2 linked regions of the Rhinolophus ferrumequinum genome follow. The protein of the gene in region 2 interacts with the protein of the main gene of each other region in a pairwise test. Links are inferred from orthologs where the notes say so. Each region holds a gene or a part of one and is shown on either strand. Other genes may lie near its edges.

The links. The genes of interacting proteins can lie anywhere in the genome.
Region 1: the proteins of RBFOX2 (region 2) and HNRNPF interact in binary tests that used the Homo sapiens proteins (3 or more experiments, as listed by UniProt). The link is inferred for Rhinolophus ferrumequinum from reciprocal best matches to the Homo sapiens genes RBFOX2 and HNRNPF.

The regions. Positions count from the first base shown.
Region 1 is NC_046299.1:66,653,518-66,660,897, reverse strand, and holds the start of HNRNPF (heterogeneous nuclear ribonucleoprotein F), read right to left. Parts: upstream 3,010-7,380; 5' UTR 2,952-3,009; intron 2,632-2,951; 5' UTR 2,566-2,631; intron 2,223-2,565; exon of another isoform or gene 2,084-2,222; intron 1-2,083.
Region 2 is NC_046293.1:10,469,382-10,476,406, reverse strand, and holds the start of RBFOX2 (RNA binding protein fox-1 homolog 2), read right to left. Parts: upstream 3,006-7,025; 5' UTR 2,914-3,005; coding exon 2,722-2,913; intron 1-2,721. UniProt on the Homo sapiens protein: RNA-binding protein that regulates alternative splicing events by binding to 5'-UGCAUGU-3' elements. Prevents binding of U2AF2 to the 3'-splice site.

The sequences.
Region 1 (7,380 bases), on a different chromosome or scaffold from region 2:
AAAAAAAGATAATTAAAAAATTTACACGATGAATGATATTTTGGATCTACATTAGGTTAAAGTAAATTATTAAAGTGAATTGCTTTTTTTTTTACTATTAGAAAATGTAAAATTAACTATGTGGCTTCTATTTTATTTCTATTGGACAGGACTGCTCTGGATTAAAACATAACTTAAAGAGATATAATCTACCAAATATTAAGGTGTGATCTTATTTGGATCCCAATTCAAACCAACCAGCTGTATAAAAATACTTATTAAACAATCAGGTATATTTAAACACTGGGTATTTGTTGATATCAAAGAATTATTATTTCTTTAGGTGTGATGATATTGTGATTATATTTTAAAGGTCCTTAGAAATATAAGCTGAAATATTTATGGATAAAAATCTTATGTCTGGAACGTGCTGTAAAACAAACCAGGCTGGTCATAGCTGAGCCTGGTTCTCCTTCTGCCCTGCCTTTTGTCTCGCACAAGAACCCTGTTTCGGGGCAACCAGGTTGGGGCAGGGGCCCTGGCAGGAGAGGACTGCTCCTGTCAAAAAGACCTGAGTCCTAGTCCCAGCTGTGTCACTGGTCAAGTGTCTTCTTGTCTCCCAGCCTCCATTTTCTCATCTGTAAAATGGGGGATAAAAGCAATACCCCCTTATAGCCTGGTTATGAGCATGTGATTAAGAAAATGTTGTAAAACACCTAACTCTGTGCCGAACCCAGTAAGGGTCAATTAATGTGGTTCTACAAAGAACCTGAGAGCTAGAGCTCACACTTCGGAGGGGAAGTTTCTGGGAAGTTACCTCCGTGAAAGAGGGAAACCCTCCCATTTCTGCCGTCTCTCCAGACACCTCTCCTGATGGGCACCGTGTGCCTCCACACGCTCCTTCAGTTTTGGCCCTTCTATACAAGGACTAACTGTCCTGTTGAATCACTCTTTGCCCTTAAATCGATTTACATTTTTACTTGAATATTTTGTTTAATGGGAGCTTTGTAACAATACTCAAGTGAAAACCAGTCACTTGGCAGTTTAAAAAGGTAATAAAAGCAAATACTACAAAAAGAATGTTACTAAAATAAAAAAAACTAAAAACAAAAAGACCACAACATGGAAATAACAAACCTACTCAATTTACAGAAATGCAGACAGGAACATGAGATCCCCAAGACAAAGAATGGACTCGTTTAACATCAGTTAACAAAACAATCTCGTCTAGAAATTAGCACTGAAAACATCACTTTTCACCGATAGATCCTAGTATGTTTTGTCTAACCAGAGAGCCCAAGGTATTTTCATTACTAGAAAGAAATTCAGAAAGATAGTAAACTTTTAAAAACGTGACTGAAATAGTGAAAATTACATTAAGATCGGTAGTATCGATGGCGTTGTGAATTAAAAGATAATTTCAGCATTCAAAACTCTCCCTGCTCCACCAGGTTTGGGACGCGCAAGGGCCGCCCCTAAGCTCAGGCGCCTCGGATCTCCTTCCTCTACCCTCCGCCGACCCGCGCGGTTCCCGGAAGCTGCCGCTGCCTCACGGTCCCCCTTCAGCGCGCAGCCGCTCGCGGGTTCCTCTCTCGTCACCCCCCCATCCCAGCCTGCAATGGCAGGGAGCCCCCGGCACCCCGCAAACAGATGTGAAAAATACTTAACCACGTTCTTTCGTCCTCGGGCCTCCAGGGTAAAGAAACTGCCGCGAAGGGACCCCGCGGGATCAACGGGACACAGGAAGGCAGTCTCCTAAGTGCCCTGGAAAGGGGGCTCTCCCCGGCTTGTGGCTTTCCAACCGTTTCTATTAAAGACCAGGGTAGGTAGGGTCCACGCGACTGGCGCGGCGTCACCCAGGCCGCCGGCGCCACCTTCAGTGAACCACACAAGACAGGGGAAGCAGAGGGCGCAGTGCAAGAGCCTACAGCGTCGATAACTTTCTTAGGCGCAGTCAAGAACCACCAAATATATTCAATGATACAAATAAGTAAAAGACAAGAAAAAAAGAAACGGCTAACTAATCAACCTCGTTCGGCAGAAGTGTGATCAACAGGCAAAGATAATAAGAACCCGAGTTTCAGCCAAAATGCAGACACAATACCTCTCACGGCAGGAGACAGACGCAGACAAGCGCTCAGAGCACACACGCCGCACCAAAAGGAAGAAAGGCCGCAAAGGCCGAGAGTGGAGGCCGGGCGAGCGGGAACGTGGGAGGGGGAGGAGTCAGTTCCCAACCAGTCCTGCGCAACTCCCCGGCGCTTCCAGCCACGTGGAGGGACTGCTTTCATTTTTAAACGAATTCCCTCTCCGACGGTCACCCGGTGCTCTCCCCTTATTCCTGGCAGAGGCGCTTGGGCTCCGCACGAGGCCCTCTTTCCCTTCCTCGCCGCGGGCCCGTCGTCTTCGGACCCCAAATCTCAGCCCTGAGATTTAGTCCCCGAATGTAAGGCCCTGGACCTCAAGCTCATCTGGGACAAACCCAATTCTCAGCCCTGCCGCCCCTACCTCGAGGGGGCCCAGTCCCCGATCAGTCCCAGGTGTGCGGCTATTGGCCTCGGAGATTCCGCCCGTCCCGCCCCTCACCTCGGGCTCCGAGTCTCCACGCTCCCGCTCTTCTTCACACCCGGCACCTTGGTCGTCGCTGAGCACCTAGAGGAGGGTAGAACGCGGGAGACTTGGCAGTTGTAACTGAAACAGTTGAGGCTTGTTTACCATCACCATGGATACCCCTGGCAGCGCGCCCTGGGCGGGGCCTGGGGGAGGAGGTCAGGCGCGCGGCGGGCTGGTGCCCACAACTCCCGCCCGCCATGCGCACGCGGCGTTTAGGGAAGCGCTGCTGCTCTCGGTGTGCCCGTCCCCGCTCGGCTCTGCGCCCCAGCGCCCGGGAGCAGCAGCCCCGGAAGCCCGCGCCCCAACCTCGCTTCTGGCTGCCCGCGCGACCGAGGGTCGGTTTCCCCACGGAACCCCACCTTTTCCAGGAGGACGAGACGCAGTCCTACTTCCACCACAGAACCGGAAGGACGCAAAGACCGTGGCGGGGCGTGGCCTTCGCGGCAGGCGTCCGGGGGCGGTGCTGCAAGGCCGCCATTGTGACGCGCTCTGTGCAGAGCCGGGGATTGGTCAGCCGGATGGGGGCGGGGCTGGAGCCTACGGAGGGGAGAGTGCATCGAGGGTAGCGGCTGGTCTCCGGCAATCCTGGCTCAGCTGACCAGTGCGTTTACCTATTGCTCTTTAAGTTACTGACTGGGGGAGGCCCCCAAACAGTGAGCCCAAAGATGCATGGGTTAAAGACCAGCATGAGAGAAGTAAATGAGAGTCGTTTCCTGCTGAGGAAGAAAGAGGAAGCTGAACCGCAGAGACGGATAAAGGAGGTTCCAAGGGCAGGCTTCAGGGAGGAATTAGGTTGACTGAGGTTGCTCATGTGACTATCACTTGGGCTAAGAAGTCCCACAGACTCTGAAGGTGACTCAAGACTCAGGGGGAATGCACGGTTTTCAGTTAGTATCTGAAACTACCCGCTGCCTGAAAATGGATGGCTACAGCCTGAGACAGTGGAGCAGATTTTCTTGATGTGTTCTAGAGTCAATAATTATTATCATTTTGTTTTTGGAAAGTCTTCATAAAGAAGAAAAAAATAGGAGCCGGCCTGGTGTCCAAAGTCAGGCTGTTGGAGCTCCGTGCTCCTAACTCCTAAGGCTGCCGGGTTTGATTCCCACATGGGCCAGTGGGCTCTCAACCACAAGGTTGCGGGTTCAACTCCTCCAGTCCTGCAAGGGATGGTGGTCTCTGCCCTCTACAACTAAGACTGAAAGGACAACAACTTGAAGCTGAACGGCACCCTCTACGACTACGATTGAAAGGACAACAACTTGGGAAAAAAAAAAAAAAGTCCTGGAAGTACACACTGTTCGCCAATAAAGTCCTGTTCCCCTTCCCCAATAAAATTTTAAAAAAAGGAAAAGAAAAGAAAAAAGAAGAAAAAAATAATCAAGCACTCATTACAAGTTAAGCAGAATATTATTTTAAAATCACCAGTTAAATTAAGGGAGTGCTTGAAATAGTGTAAGATTATGACTGGAAGATAGTAGAGGAAGGAGCACTGTTTCTCAAAAAATGTTTTTTCCAAGAAAGACAAAAGTGGGAAGAGTAAAAGCGGGAGCTGTCAGAGAGGTGAAAATTAATCAAAGGCAAAATTACAGAAAACGGGTCCTACTAAAATCAGGTAGGTATTTTTAAGAAACCCCACAATGACTCCATCACAGTTCATGCTGTAGAAAAGTCTGTTTCTGGAGAGAAAATGGAAGTAGTCAATCTGAGGCAAATATTAAAATTAAACCAAAAAATAGTACTGCTTCTAAGTTTAGGGACTATGAAACCATGTCCCGGAAGATATATTCATGTAGTCCATTAAGAGAGCCTTTGAGCCTAGTGGCTCTTTGATCCTTTCAAGTCTGAGAGTTCTCTATCATTCATCAATGATGCAATAATCTTTCTAGTCTTCTGAATGAAAGGCGAGGGCCTTGGACTGATTTTGAGCCTGTGTCTAGTCCTAGGAAGTCATCCCAGATGTGCACTATGATATGAGTAGTCACATATAAGCCCACTTCCACAGCAAGTGCAGGAATCGTTCACTGGTGTTACAGATCCCAGGACTTCTTCACAAATGTCTGGCTTATCTCACCAACTGGGGACCACTTCAGCTGTGGGGCCAGGGGTCCTCCACCCTTTCTTTTCATCTCTGTATCTACAGAAGTGTCTCATCTAAGCTCTGAAATCTCAGATTTTTTTTGATTCTTGAGAGTAACTGCACGGAGATGTACCCTTAAGGTACATGGTTTAAAAACAATTGAATTCACCACAAATGAAGATCACCCCAAGCTGTGTCCTTACAGACTTACCTGCCTTTTGTTTATGTAAATAGATTATCACAAATTTAATAACTTTCAATATTTTAAGTTTTAAAATAAGCTCCTCTCTGGAAACCATTAGTCCATAACAGATGATACAGAGGTTTGTATTGTCTAGAGTCTATTAAAATTTTCCAGTTGATAACCCTTGAAAGAACACTTTACGCATTAAGTTTGACCTCCTTCTCCAGGAGAGTACCAGTGGGTAGGCAGGATCACCGTAGCTCAGCAAAGGCTTTTAGACAAAAATCACAGTATCTGCCACACAGCAGTGATAGCAATAGCTAACATGTATTTCACCTTCAATGTGCTTTACACTATTCTGAATACTTAATCTCATTTAAACAGTGGTAGATGTTATTACAATCATCACACTAAGTGGAAGGAAACTGAGGTACAGAGTCATTAAGGTAACTTTCCTAAGATTGCTCAGCTTGTAGGTGACAGTCTGGGCATGAAGCTGAGACGTTCTGGTTCCGGAGTCTGCACTCAACTGCTGCACTATTTTTTTTCTTTTTTTAGTTTGTTTTTATTTTATTGGGAAACAATGTGTTTTTCCAGGATCCATTAGCTCCATGTCGAGTCGTTTTCAATCTAGTTGTGGAGGGCACAACTCACTGGCCCATGTGGGAATTGAACCGGCGACCTGGGTGTCATGAGCATGGCACTCTGACCAGCTGATCCAACTGGCCGCCCAACTGCTTCATTTCTGAGCTCAGGGAGAGGAGGTTTTTCAGGCCCCTCTTCTGCCTCCCTTTCCCATCTGAGAGAAGGAAAGAATGAAGTGAGAAAGCAAATTGAACTGTCCAGACACAGCATAGGTCCTGTCCAAATGTAATGTTTTTCCTTGAGGCCAGGTGCTCTATCTGGTAGGTAGAGATGAGAATAAGATAGCCCAGGTGGGATGCAGTCAAGTTCAGCAGTCACAGCCTTGTCTGGTTAATTTTCTTGATCAATATAGAAAATGAACCTATGAAGCAGTGCTAATACTTATTCAAGGAGTTCTGTGGGGAATATAATCAATAATGTTGTAAATATTTTGTAGGGTGTCAGATGGGCATTTGTCTTATTAGGGAGACCACTTCATGGACAGTGTAGATGCCTGACCACTGCAGTGTACACCTGAAGCTGAGGCTGAATGTCAACTATAATATGTATATAGTCACAGGATGTGGAGTACAGCATAGGGAATAGTCAATGGAATTGTAACAGCTATATACAATGTCAGAGGGGTAGTAGATTGGGGGAGGGGGTTATCACTGTGAGGGGTGTAAGTGTCTAACTATTACATTGTCTTGTACACCTGAAACTAATAAAAAAACAACAACATGTGAGTTCCCACCAGGGGAGGCTGACCTTTGTATTTACAGTTCTTTCAAACAGCACTTTGTGTTAGTGAAAGGAGTTATGGTACCCCCTTGCTTGATGGTTACTTGCTTGAATTGGTTTCTTTGCCTAGCAAAAGACTCCAGGTAGAGACTAAGCAGTGTTGGGTGGTTGCCCTTAACTTTAAGCATTTCTGCAGCAGGCCCGGCCTGCAACAAGCCCTAGCTTGGACATTAGTGAAGTGAGGTCTAGCTCTCTCCATACTGACTTGTCACCTTTTAGCCTGATAATGAGTTTTCCCAGCCCAGAATATGTACAGTTAGATGCCTTCACTTCTGTGGGGCCTCAGCAGAGTCAGAAAACTTCACTTGGATCAAGATGTGCTGTTATATGTCAATTCTAAAGGTGGAAGGGGGTAAGAAAGGTGCTGGGTACAAGGCAGCTTGCAGCTTCTCTTCTGCCTCTCTTGCAGTAACTTCATTAAAAATTATAAATAAAACACAGAAAGTTACAGATATTATACAGATTAAAATATACTGATATTTTGAAATATTGACTATTTCCTTCCATTGTTTTCAGACCAAAAATTACAGATAAACCTGTTCTCCGAGGTGCTTTTCAACTCTTTAAAAAGCAATATACGGTCAGTGGGGAATATTGAAGTTTTGGGATCAGAGAAGTAACAAAATGTGTGGCCCATTTACATAAATTTCTTTAAAGATTTTTTTCCTATCATATAGATTGTGTGGGTAAGTATATGCTATCTTGATCCATTTTTGAGGCCCTGGCTAGAAGCTGTCAGTTCCTCTTGAACAGCTGATTACGTCCACACCACCAAACCCTTCCCTTATCAGGCTCTCACATTCTAGGCCACCATACTCCTACTCTAAATGACCCAGGGTCAGGGATCAGACAACCAAGGATAGCTCCAGAGCCCACTGAAATTATTTAAATTAGCCATTCCTAACTGTGTTTGTCCTGTCTAACCCTTTCCTTCCAGCTGAAGCCACAATAAAAGTGCTTGCCTGCAGCTCGCCCTCGCTCTGCCTTGTGACCAACCTGGTGCTTCCCCTGAGTGGCCTTGGCTGGTATGCTGTGTTCTCCCCGAGAGCTACGAGTACAAGAAACTGTAAAGTTCTCTCATGATCTGCATCTGACCTCACCA
Region 2 (7,025 bases):
TACAATGGACCCAAAACCGTTTGGTATTATTAATACAAAGAAGTACAGTTCCTGTCTCCTAGAAGCTTAGTCTCACTAGGGAAACAAGAATAACAAAACAATTAAGGGACAATATACATGATGCATGAACAAGCATTGGATATAAAGGATACAAGAGGGTCTGACTGGTGTGAATCAACTGGTGTTACTCCCAATTATACCTCAAATTTTAAGCTCCCCAGAAAGCCTTCCTTGACCATTTCAGCAGGAATGACCATCTCCGTCTTCTGGACTGAGTGGCACAAATCCTCTAAACCATGCAATGAATGCCTTTTGGCATGCATCTACCCTGTGGTATCTCTACTCCTATTTCTCTAAACTTACAAAAAAAAATCATATATATATATATATGTGTGTGTGTGTATATAAATATATATACACACACACACATATACACTTTTTACAACTTTTCACCCATTTTGTCTCCCTACCTAGATTGTAAGCACCAAACACTTTAAGGTCAGGGAACTTGACATATATTTTAGAAGGTAACTTAGAAATCATCATGTATGAACACTTTATTTTACAACTAAGGAAATAGAGGCCCAAAAAGAAGGGATTTTCCCAGAACCATACAGCTAGTTGAAGGCAGGGGACTAAATCAATGATGATATGAATACCTGTGTGACATGGTATGTTGGAAGTCCAACAATGAGAATGCATAAAGTGAAAAATAAATAAAGATCCACAAATACACAGAGTGCAAAAAACATTCTCTGTGGGATGGTTCTAAGTCGCCCATCTGTACCCAAAGGACCTAATCCACTCCTTCCTCTGCATACCCCAGAGTCCCTATACACTGTTCCACTTCCAAATATTACTGTCCTTAGCCAATTTGAAGGCAACCAGCAAATAATGGGCCCCAGGAGGAAAGGTGGGGGAAAGGGAAGAGTCTCGCTGTTAACTATGATTGACAAAACAATAAATGAATACCGACAGACACAGATACATGCTCACACCACGCAGAAAACGCTCAGCAGCACTCATCCAGTCTTCCCTCCTTCCCATCCAGTACTAACCCACCTCACCTGAAGTCTCCCCATATTCCTTTATATATATTTTTCCCATGGCCCTGAGCTTTCACTTCTCACAATCCCTCTGCCTGACAGAGTTCTAAAGGAGAACAAAAGCAAGCAAACAAAACAAAAGAATTCAAAAATAAACACCACAGAGGATCACTGTACCCAAGTCAACAGAAGTAAGAGTGGCCTCTGCAAAGGAGACCAAGAAGCACACAGTAAACACGCCAGGCTTAACTACAGCTCCGTCTCTAACACAGGAAGTCAGGCAGAGCCTTGAAAAGCAGGAGCAGAGCACAGGAAGTCTCTTAGCACTGCAGAGATTTCCAAGAGTGGTGTAATGGAGAGAGCACAGGAATAGGAATTAGAAGAGTAGGCTTCCAGCTCTAGTTTTACTACCGAGCTCACTGGGTGGCCTTGGGCAAGTCACTAGTCTTCTCGTGACTTTTGAGTCCCCATCTATAAAATGAGATGGTTAAAACATTTGGGAACTTGAATCCAATCCAGAAAAAGAAAAAAAGAAATTATTGACTTCCCCCCCTAAAAAGTGCAGGTAAACTATTTTGCACAAGTCTTCCAAGTCTACCCAGGTTTAGAACCCCTGGAAAAGATGACGTCGCTGGTCCCTTCTAACATTCTATGATTCTAAGAGAATTAGGCAGATGTCTAAACAACTGCTGGTACATTAGCACCCACCCCCAGCCACCACCACCACCACCACCACCACCATTTCATAGCAAGTATTTTCTGAACAAAGACCAAATCCTAAAACTAAAGCTTATCAAGATTTCACATTCTTCCTCAAATTACAAAGTCAACTGACATCATTGCTCCATTTCCCATTCCTTACCCACATCAATCAGCTCATCCTTGACTCCACAACTCAGAATCCAGGCTTCTAACAGCCCTATACCTGTTCTTTCATACCCCAAAACATTACAGAGCTAGTCGGTGCCCTAGCTATGGAAGAGGCCACTGGCAAAGTCCAGGAGGGACATGCCCTGCGTCTCTCTTCAGACTCATTAGCATGTTTCACAAAGTTAATGCGACGGAGCACCACGGTGTCCCCACAAGACTACCACACGCCGCGTACTTCTCACATTCCTGGTGGAACTGATTTAACCCACAATCGAAGCCACATCCCCTCTGGGCTCTCGAGGAGTTTTCTGGCCTTTGATTCCTCTCTTTTATTATGTGCCACTCCCCTTCCCCATCCCAGTGTGTGTCCCCGGCTGCCAAAAGGTACTCCTCCTCGGGAGGTGTCCCACCACTGTCCCCTCGTCCTCGACTCAGTCCAGCGGCTCTCTGGGCTGCAGACCCAGGATCTCCCGGCTTTCACTCCACCCCAAGGAACTAAGGAAGGGTTGGAAGAAATGGAATCCATCTCAACCATGTTCGATTTCCCCCCGAAACCCATCCACGCGTCGTGTCCCCTTGTGCCCTCAATAATCAGGACCCTCGTGGGCACGCCAGGGTCCCCCGGCACACTTCGCCTCCAAGCCGGGGCTCGCCCCACCTTCCAAACAGGCCACGACCGGCCCCCTCCCACTTCCAAGCCAAGACCCCGAGGCCCTCCCCTTTCCAAGCCCCGGGAGCCCCGGGCCGCCCCCCGGGACCCGCGCCGCACCCCCGCCGTAACCGGGCGCCCGTCCCGCGCGGTCACCTGCATCCCGCCGCCGCCGCCGCCGTCGGCCGCCGCCTCCTCGGTGCGCGGCCGCTTGCTCAGGCCGGGCTCGGCTCCGTCTCCTCCCCCACCGGGCACCGGCAGCTCCAGCTCCGACTCCCGCTTCATCCCCCGGGCAGCGGCGCCGGGCCCGAGCTGCGATGGCTGTTGCGGCTGGGTGCCTTCCGCCATCCGCCCGCGCCCCCCTCGCCTCCGGGAGCCGGGCGACCCGCGACAGGCCACCTCCCCCTGGGCCTCGGCCCCGACAGTCGCGACAGGCGGGCGCGCGCCTGCCCCCGCCCCCGCGTGCGTGCGTGCGTGCGCGCGCGCGAGCGCGCGGGCCCGGCGCTCCTCTGCGACTGGCGATCGGCGTCCTCGCTCGCGCGGTCCTCGGCTGTGGGAGGCTGGCGGGTCGCGACGGGCACTGGCTCGCGCCCCCACGCGCACACGCGACCCACGGCCTGGCCCGCCGCGCGCCCCGCCTCACACTCACGGAGCTCGCCCGCCGGCCCGCGCCCGCTCCCTCACACTGTCCCTCACAACACGCCGGGCCGAGGGAGGAAAGGGGCGGTCCGGGCTCCCGAGCCTTGGGGAGGGGTGTTTATTTGGGGGGAGGAGGGGCTCGAGGCCGGAACGAGCTGACTGGCCGGGATCCTCCGACCCGCCACTGTGGCAGCACCGGGAAGGCGGGGAGAGAGAAAGGAGGAGGGAGGGACCGGGATCTGGGACTCCAGCCCGCGCGGGAGGCTGTGGCGGGGGTGGGGCGGGGAGGGCGTGGCGGGGGTGGGGGCCGAGCCTGCGGAGGGGGCGTGGCCAGCTCCCCTCGGCAATCTCCGCCGCCTCCTCTCCTGGCGCCCGAGGGAGGCCGGGGAGAGAGCAGGACAGTTCGGGAGTCTCCGCCAGCGGCGAGGGATTGTCCTGGAGGCACCGTGCGGCTGGATTTCCAGCTAGCGCGGAGGGGGCGGAGTCTGTTTCCTCTAGGGGCGGGGCCATAGCCTAGGACAGGCGGAGCTTGAGAGGCCCGAGGGCCCCGTGAGTTCCCGACTAGGGAACCGGCACTCTGTGGGAGGGGGCGTTTAGCCTGCTCCCTCTCCCGCGGAAGAATGAGGATCTCGATTTGGAAGGTCCAGGAATGAAATCACCACTACATGGCTCTCCCCAATTCTAAAAGCTTTGACTCTAATAATAATAATTATCCCATTCCTGATCATCTTAATAATAACACCTGATGTTTGTAAGAGCTTGCACAATGCAGTTTGCACAATGCGTTCACAGACCCGTTTTGAAGCGATGGTATGAGCAGAGTAGATACCAGGAACTCCTTTACGTTGATGATGAACGTGAAGCTTCGTTAAGTCCTGGAGCTAAACAGTGGCAGATCCAGCTCTCAGGACATCAGATCATCTTTTCTCTACGCCTTGCTGCCTGTGTAACACTTTGTTAATTTCAACTTTCTGCAATTAGAGATGCTGTGCAACAGCTTCTTTCTCCTACCAGTCTGTAAGGACCAAAAGGGCATCTATTTTCTCTGGGTTCCATATTGTGCCCTGTACGTTACAGGGATATAGTTATGTTGCATGCATGACTTGGATTCTACAAACGAGCTTCATCTCTTTGGACCCCTGACCATCATTTGTAAAATGGGGAGATAGTTTAGATCAGCGGTTGGCAACCAGGGGCAATTCTGTCCTTTCCCCTCTCCTCCAGGGCATTTGTCAACTGTCTGGAGACATTGTGGGTCATTACAACTGAGGGGTGCCACTGGCATCTAGTGGATAGAGACCAGGGATATTGTTCACCATGCTTTGATGAACAGGACAGTCCTCACAACAGTTATCCACCCCAACATGTCAACAGTACTGAGATTGAGAAACCCTGAGTTACATGATTTCTAAGGTCATTTCCAGATGGGTCTAGGAGTTGTCCTTTGACTTGGGTTTAACCCGCTGAAACAGTACAATGGTAAAGATCCTTGCTTTGGAATCAGACCAACCAAGGTTTGAGTCCAAGCTTTCCCATCTACCACCCATGTGATGTTGGACCAGTGATCATTTAAGAAGTTCTATATAGAAGGGGAACAGGGCCTGCAGACTGTTTGGAAGGGAAGACTGAAGGACTTGTCCTGAAGCTGAGTTTTCCTAGCTCATTGTTTTTTACCTAGTCTGTGTCCTAGATCAATAAAAATAGCCAAGTTTTGGCTCTGCCCCTGAACCAGTCATGATGCCGTGTGAAAGCTACCTAGCCTGTCTATGCTTTAGTTTCTTCATCTGAAAATCAGGATAATAATACTACCTTCCTGAAAGGGTTCTTGTGAGGATTCAATGAATTATCACACATTAAGAACTTCGAACAGATTGGCCAATGATAAACACTTAATAAATGTTAGCTATTATTATTGTTATTACCATTATTTTATTCACATCTTAAATGTGAGCAAGAAAAATATTCTTATCAAGATCAAAGGATATCATTATCACTACTACTGGTTTTTTTTTCCAATTACATAAAGTGGGGGGTGGGGGCCTGCTAGAGATTAAGATGGGCTGACAAATCACCCCAAGTCACCCCTTAGTGCAACAGCTATATTAGGCAAGTCATTTATTTTCACTAAACCTTACATTCCTTGTTTGTAAGATGACAATACTAGTTACAGTGTTGTTCTAAGGATTAAATGAGACAAAATAAAGAACAACAATGTAAATAAATTAGGTGATAAATATTGACCAGAGCACGGCGTCGAACTGCTTAATAAGTGGTCAATATTTATCACCTAATTTGTTCAGTGATGCTAAGCCGCTGGTCAGGGGTTCATGCGGCTGGAAAGAGAAGCCCAGGCAGCTTCTACTACTGCCATTCGGGCCATCAAGTTGGAAGTCCAAGTGCCTGAAAGGTTGTACTTGAGCTAAATTAGTCCCAACCTACGGCAGGGATCTCCAGTTGGCAGTGCCCCCTGGGCAGATAGGCCTTAATCCTGTGCAACCAAGCATGCGCATTATAGCTCTAAAGAAAAATCAGGATGTTTCTTGGTGGTCTATGGAACAACAATGGCTTCTTTTGTCTAACCTAGGGACGTCAGTGGTTGGTTTTCTGAAATTTTTACTTATTAAGCTGGTGTCTTGAAAATTCTTCTCCCCTCCCTACCTGCCTTGCCAAAATACTAGAATTTAAATGACTCTAGGTCCTTCCTGGGCTGCTCCACGACCCAGCAAGAAATGAGATTTGGTATCAGGGCTGCTTGTGACTCAAATTATTGTAAGTCAAGTAGCACACATTTCCCTGAGAAATAGAGCGATGTGGTACAGGAATGTTTGAATGACCAGGCAGAACAAAGAGAAATTGAACCTTGTCCTGTAAACAAGCATTAAGCTTTTAGAGAGAGCTTGCGAATAGAAGCCTATAAATAGTAGAAGAGGCCAAATGAGCCTATAGTGACACAAAGACCAGGATCGTTTCTTTCATGTACATCTGCAGCCACCTCTGTGGGAGCAGGTGGTTATAAAATATTACAGAGGAAGAAAACAATTAAAGAATATTTTCCTAGAAAGAATTTTTAGCTGCAGAAATTATTGAAGTCCTAATGTTTATTTATTTATCCACTTGACAAACTATGGGCAAAAGTCTGGGATATCAAAAAGAATAAAATTGATTCCTGGTACTGAGGAGCTCAGTCTGGGAAAGAAAGGATGAACAAATAAAAAGACAAATACACACCAGAAACTAATATAAAATATTGAATGTCAACTGTAATTGAAAAATTAAATACACAGAGAGTGCCAAAAAAATGTATACACATTTTAAGAAAGGAAAACTGTATTAAAATTATTCTACTCAATATATACCAATAACAAAAGATGAATACAAATTACGTTTGATTTCTGCAACTACAAGGGTGCTCAAAGTGGTTCCCATCGGCATCCAGACACTTCTGCATTACGGCAAACTACTGCCTGAGCAATGTCGACCAAAGTGTCCACTTGTATACACTTTTTTTGGGCACCCCAAGGTTGTGTATGTGTGTGTTTTAAGAATTACAATGCACCATGAGAAGGAGGCATCTCTCATAGCGGTTAAGAACATGGACTCTGGTATCACACATGGGTTTGAGTATGACTTGGCCATATATTTGACCTTGTACAAGATCCTTACCACCTCTTAGACCCAGTTTCTTCATTTGTGTGGCAAGCACTGGTAGTTCCCAACCCTTATATCCTCTTATTCCTAATCAGCAGAACCCCCATTTTATTCAGGGAAGAAATCTTTCCAGCTTTAAAAAGAGAAAAAATATACATAAAAATGTCAGGCTC